Linked DNA regions of Oryzias latipes. The protein of the gene in region 1 purifies or fractionates together with the protein of each later gene. This does not show direct contact. Links are inferred from orthologs where the notes say so. Each region holds a gene or a part of one and is shown on either strand. Other genes may lie near its edges.

Evidence for each region. Proteins that work in one complex are often made in the same cells at the same time.
Region 2: the proteins of drg1 (region 1) and ntmt1 purify together in Homo sapiens (affinity purification with mass spectrometry; 3 studies listed by BioGRID and IntAct, counting the BioPlex papers as one, with this or other methods). This does not show direct contact. The link is inferred for Oryzias latipes from reciprocal best matches to the Homo sapiens genes DRG1 and NTMT1.

Annotation. Positions count from the first base shown.
Region 1 is NC_019870.2:14,586,888-14,589,750, forward strand, and holds part of drg1 (developmentally-regulated GTP-binding protein 1), read right to left. Parts: intron 2,844-2,863; coding exon 2,720-2,843; intron 2,608-2,719; coding exon 2,432-2,607; intron 2,332-2,431; coding exon 2,262-2,331; intron 1,894-2,261; coding exon 1,724-1,893; intron 1,267-1,723; coding exon 1,136-1,266; intron 766-1,135; coding exon 598-765; intron 482-597; coding exon 359-481; intron 1-358. UniProt on the Homo sapiens protein: Catalyzes the conversion of GTP to GDP through hydrolysis of the gamma-phosphate bond in GTP. Appears to have an intrinsic GTPase activity that is stimulated by ZC3H15/DFRP1 binding likely by increasing the affinity for the potassium ions.
Region 2 is NC_019870.2:30,133,432-30,137,187, reverse strand, and holds the start of ntmt1 (N-terminal Xaa-Pro-Lys N-methyltransferase 1), read right to left. Parts: upstream 2,800-3,756; 5' UTR 2,725-2,799; intron 2,328-2,724; 5' UTR 2,233-2,327; intron 1-2,232. UniProt on the Homo sapiens protein: Distributive alpha-N-methyltransferase that methylates the N-terminus of target proteins containing the N-terminal motif [Ala/Gly/Pro/Ser]-Pro-Lys when the initiator Met is cleaved.

The DNA of each region.
Region 1 (2,863 bases):
CCCCTTCCGTTCAGCCCATTTGTATATAACATAACGTCTGCTCACTAAGAAGAAAGACATTTGACCGCAAACAATGTTTCAAAGCCGCATAAACTGCCTTGGAATCTAGTTTTATAGTTCTTTGGGGAATAACTCATTTAACCGTAGTGTATGTATCAGTGCCAGGCCCAGAGAAATGGACTTCATAAATGCATTGTCCAGAGAGAACATGTTGTACTTTAACTCCTCAGCAGGGAAACGTGACATATGGGATTTTTATTTCTTCTTCTAAATTAACTGAGACCTCTTCAATGTTCCCAAGTGACACAGACACAGCTAATTTTGCATCAGAATCTTTAGCTTGTGCAACAATACTCACTACTTCAACTCTTTGATGAGGTTTTTGTGAATCTTTAAGCAGAAATCCTCAACGGAGGTTCGTCCGTCAGGGAGCACGACGGGAGATGTGTAATCGGGAAGTTGTCCTTTGGGTTTGGTGTAGCTGCAAAAAAGCAAATTATTATCAGTTAGTTAAAATGTTCAGTAATAAACATATAGTTCCTGCTAGATTAGCTATTTCAATCCCAGAGGACCCTTTGAAGTCAGAGCCTCACTTACATGCGCACAAGCTTAAGGTAATCCCACATCTTCTCCAACAGGTCATCAAAATTCCAGCGGTGGTGGGCTGAGATGGGGACACAGTGTGGGACCTTGTAAATGACATCCAGCTCTTCAATTGAGATCTGGTCAATTTTATTTAAGACATAAATGCACGGGATGTAGACCCTGTTGAGACAAGGACAAACGGGAGTAAATGTCTGGAAAGCTGCAAGAAAACTGTTTTTACAGTTTCTTTTAATACTAATAAATTATAAACTAGATGAATGCAGTCCTGGTGTGTGCAGTCATAAATCACAAACATACAACCCACTTAACACAGCACACAATGCTTTTTTAAACAAATAAAAAAAGATTTTATCTGTTCTTGTAAATCTAGACTTTTGAGTCAGCAGAAGGTATGAAAGCTGGATCCTGCAGCTTAGTTTTTTCTTTTTTTAATACACCTGCACTAGTGTCAGGGGGTTCACATGTGAATTCTTAATGGCCACACCCACAGGGAATGACTGAGGAGCGCTGTGGCACTTCAGAGGCTTACCGATTTCCCTCCACCACATCGATGAGGTCATCAGCGGTGCAGTCGGCACGCAGAGTGATATCCGCGTTATGGATCTTGTATTCGGCCAGGATGCTCTTAACTGTTTCAGAATCGAGCTCAGTTTGTGGACACTAATGACGGACAGACAGAGAAAAAAGACAAAGACTTTGAGCTGTGCGATGGAAAGAAATATTGAATTAAATAAAATAAAAAAAACACTAAAGAATGATTTAATAACATAAAAAGACAGAATCATATAGGCACAAACTAGCATTTAGAAAATACATTTCTATTGATTTAAAGCATTTAAAATCAGAAGTAAATTTAAATATATGGAGAAATTCTTGCTTTGGTGCAGGAATTAAAAAATACCAACATTTTGGTACAAAATGTTTTGACTTTGCAACATCATTTCAGATACATCCCATTGGAGTGCAAGAATAAATCAAAAATTACAAAATGATTAAAATATTCATTCATTCATTAATAAGTGATCTATATTTTAACACTGCACTTCTTTTTTACTCTACTGTTTAGGAAAGGTGGCATCAGTAAATGTGAAGCCCTGGTGTGCTGCGCGTGACATACTGTGGTGGTAAAGTTAATGCCTCCTTTGTCCTTCTTCTTGAATCCGATGTTGGGTGGTTGTTTGTTAAGTCGGATTCCAAAGCCCTCCAGCTCGTGTTCTATTAGCTTCTTATGAACAAGAGGCTTCAACACATCCAGCACTATTAGGATTAGATTGCAGGTTCGAGCCACTAAAAGACAAAGGAAAGACAACGGCGAGCAGAAAAGAAAGACCTTTTAGTTTGTGCAGCAGGAGTAAAAAATTCTATAAAATATCATGGGGGGTTATTAATTTTACACAATAAATTAATTTGGTGGAAATTAAATCAAATGCTTAGTGTTCCTGCAGAAAAACAACAAATAAAATAAAAACAGGAAAGCAGTTTTTAAAGTAAAATATAAAAAAATATTTTGAATATGTTACATTTGCAAGATAATTTTGCAGATAATAGAACATTTTTAACATGAAATTTGAAGCCTATATGAGTGAGGGATCGCTCCATTTTCACAGTAGTATTTCTTATAGTCTAGTTGTGGCACAGAAGCACAATGAGCACACCTGCAATAACCTGTCTGCCTCTGCCCTTGCCATCTTTGGCTCCCTCAATGATTCCTGGGAGATCCAGAAGCTGAAAAGAAAAAGGAAAATACAAACTCACTGCAAACCAATCACTCCGACTTCTTATTTTTTTTCTGGAAACAGTGAAACAAATATTGAGATTCTAGTACCTGAATTTTGGCACCTTTGTACCGAATGACACCAGGTACTGTTGTAAGGGTGGTGAACTCATAGGCAGCAACCTCAGAATAAACACCTGCAAGATTACTCAGCAGTGTTGACTTTCCGACTGAAGGAAAACCAACAAAGCCGACACGAGCGTCTCCTGTCTTTGCGACATCAAAGCCTGAAAGCCACAGATAAGTCACAATCAACTGGACAGCAAAGGTAAACATAAGACAAATGTTTACATTTTGTTCAAAAATTAACTAGATTAAATTTGAAGCTTTTAATCACACCTTCCCCGGTTCCACCCCCACTGCCTCCTTTTGGTGTGATGAGCTCCCTCCTCAGTTTGGCAAGGCGTGCTTTGAGCAGACCCAAGTGGTGAGCTGTGGCCTTGTTCTTCTGAGTTCTGGCCATCTATGGGATACAACGACACC
Region 2 (3,756 bases), about 16 Mb from region 1:
TACTGGTAATTGTAAAGTAAACATAAAATCATAAGGATCATGAATACATAAAATTCAATGGGAAAATTCTAAACTGAACTAAACAGACTAAACTACACTGGGCATCTCTGCCCTTAGAACCCCCCTCTCTGTAAGGAAAAGCTCCTAAAACAAATACGGATTCTGGAAAAAAAGAAGAAACCTCAGGGGTGTCCACATGAAGGAGGGATCCTCCCCCAGGACGGACGCACTAGAAGTCAGTTTACAATTTGGAAGAACCTATTGGGAACCTAATATATTGTGTGAAACTTGAAACAGAAATGTTTAAGTCCCGCTCCAATCATCTTTTGATATGTGGTAAAAGTATTCCCTGTAGTATTTTAATAGCATTATGCCTTTTTTTTCATCCAAAGTAAAAAAGCTGCGTTTTGAGGACATAGTTTCTGCAGAGTGGCAGGCGTTCTTTGGAAATTCGCTTTGGTGGGCACAGGCGCACAGATTGGCATATGGACGCACAAAGGCGCACGCAGCGTTCTTCTCTAAAGAAGCATCAAACCCAAACCTTTTCATTCTCACAAAGCACCGAGCCCCGGTGGGTGTGCTCCAGTGACAAATCAACAAACAAGCCAGAGTAGGGACCACAACCATTCAGCCTACAACAACCGTTCGGGGTCCTTCGACTAGTGCTGACGTCCCATTATGTGATTGGCTGTTTGTTGGTCTGATGACGTGTCAGATAGTGATTAGTCTGGACAAATTATGATACTACCATAGGAGAAGATATTATGAAGTCTGTTGTAAACAAGCAGAGCTCCGACACAGAGTAAGAGTATCTTCTAAATGTGCTTTTATTATGATTATTATTAAGTGCATTGCAGCCGAGCGGACTGCGGTCTGAACCCTTCTCCGGACCGAACACTGTAACAAAGAACCATCCCTGCCTGCAAACACGAAGCTACGAGACTGCAGCTGCTCAGACACACGGTTCTCTGTGGAGCAGCAGGTTCATTCTAACAGCCACAGATCTTTTTACAAAGTGGGTTGTGGTAAAATCTCTCCTGAAACATTACAAAGAATAATGTCAGACACAACTTACAAAGGAAAAGAACTTTATAATACAAAAGGAAACGTGAAATGTAAATATGTAGAGCCCGAGCAGATGTGGACGCTATGTAGTTTGTCCAAGTGGGGCCACCGTAGTGTGACGTTATCATCAGTCCAAAGGACCCCGAACGGTTATTGCAGGCCGAATGGTTACGGTACTTACACTGAGCTGGATATTACAGCATGATGGCTGATTTAACTGGTATCTACGATGTAATTATTTACTTTTTTAAAGTAAGATTCCCAACACTGTTTATCACTAGTTTTAATATTTAGTTTCCTGTTGTAACTTAGAAAAAACATTTGTGATTTGAACAAAGATCATTTCTTAAAAAATGTTCAAGTTGTGAATAAATAACCTCAAGTAGAAATAAACATTAGGGCTTTGATAAAAAGTCGATCCTTTAACCCTTGTGCTATCTTAGATGACCCCCCCCCCTTCCATTGAGGTGTTCTCCCTACCATGACAAAGGTGGATAAAGGTGGAAAGATTTCATGTAATCCATGGACACCAGTGAAGATCACAAATCATTGAAGAAAAAAGGTTCAGAGCACTGTCTAGTGGGTCTAGATGACCCAGTCCCAATGGTAAAGTGCCTAGGATAGAACAAGGGTTAATAAACACAGGGAACAACTGTTTTATATTGAAATACACAGAAGATCTTTCCAAAGAATATGTTTGGCCAGTGGAAGTCTAATTTGGCTGGTAAACTTTGGATGTCACAGACCATACTGGCAGGTATTTAGTGGCATTTCTTTGTGGGCGGCACGGTGGTGGAGTGGTAAGCGCTCTTTCCTCACAACAAGGAGGTTCAAGTCCGGGCTGGGGGACCTAAACCCTCTCTGTGTGGAGTTTGCATTGCGTTCTCCCCGTGCATGTGTGCTTTTTCTCCAGCTTCCTCCCCCCATCCAAAAACATGCTTCATAGGTTAATTGGTTAATCTAACTTGTTGTGAGTGTGTGGGTGTGTGATTGCAGACACTCTAGCCTGTGAGACAGGTGACCTGTACAGGGTGTCCCCTGCCTTTGCCCACAAGTGGCCGCGATAGGCCCCAGCAGCCCCGTGACCCCAAAAGGGATCAAACGGAAGAAGATGGATGAAATCATTTCTTTGCATTTGCAGAGTTTCTCGTCTTTTTGCACACTTACTTTGCTTTGCTGCAATTGAGGGTCTCAGCCAGCGTATGATCAGCTCTACAGTCCGTCCCAAGAGCTACGGCCTCACTCGTGTGTGTGAATCATCACTGTTGATGAAGGTGGAAGACCATTACTACATAAGTATTTGGAATTTGGCGGTCATCTCAACTTCTTATAAGTAGGTCAAGCAGCACCGAAAGCTGGGCTTTAAGTAAAACTTCTCTGTCCAATTTTCACGTCAGAACTTTGTTGCAGATCTTCTTTGTCCAAAGAATTTTGTCTGGGAAACAGATCTCTGACTGGGCCTACATGCAGAACAGCAGTTTGGAGGACCCAGCCTTCTCAAGGTCTTTTGGAGGAGCACTAAAGAGGGGCACTGTTGATGGGAGACTCTGTCTGGCAGCTGAAAGGGAGCGATGGAAGGAATGGCCTCCCTGATCTACCTGAAGATGTTGTTGGATATGTGTACTCGTCACAGATTTACGCTTGCAATGTTTTCTGTACCTGTTTAACTTCAACTGATGATATTGTTGGGTGGTGGGAGAAATATTTTGAGGCTCTCTTTAACCCTTTTGACACACCATCTGTTGAAGAAGCAGAAACTGTGGACTCTGGGGTGGGGGCTGTAGCCGTAAAACACACTTCTGAACATCTCACCTGTTCATAACGTTGTGGTCATATTCCATGAAAGCTGCACAGCAATGACCACGTTAACACAATGACCCTGCTGCATGCCGCTGTGCTGCTCCCCTGTGGCCTGATCAGCGTATCGCAGTCCAAGATCTTTGGACATCAGGCCTTCCAACGACCTGTGGAGGAAGTGTTCCCAATTATACAAGATGATCTGAAGGTGAGGGAACAGGCGCCGTCAAATGGTGTTACAGTTTTTCTCAGTCGCTTTAGTACAATTCTCAGATCAGAATTGAAGTTTGCAAATACGTGTGTGCATTTCTCAAAACAATTTGTACAAACAGCAAAACACTATGGATTTCTTGCAAAAGCCTGTAACTTGGTCAAAATCTTTAGTTCATCTCTCAAAACTAAGTCTTTATGTCATTGAACATGTCAGTGCCATCAGAATGTCAAGTCCTTGTGTCATTGTCTATGAACAAGACAGTCAAATGACTTAGTCATGTTGTCAATATAACTGTGTACTTTAGAGGGAGGTTCTGATGGAAACTATGGCTAAAGTTTGGATGACAATTATTGTAAAATGGAAGTTAAACCTTTTTTGTTTGATTGCAAGAGACTGGACAAGATTCACATTTACACTTTCATTGTTCATATTGTAATTTGTTGACAGACCATGTCACACCAACATAGAAAAAACCCACTGCAAACAGTAACACAAAGGGAAAAAAAAGATAGGACAATATTCTGTACAACAGTCCAGGCAGTGCAGTAGGAATTGGTGTGGTCTCCCTACACCTCTTGTCGTTCCTGTATGTTAGGCCACAAATTCTCATCCACATCACAGCGAATATCCTCTCTTGCAATGCAGCCAAATATGTTTGTCACATTGTGACAACTTGGTCA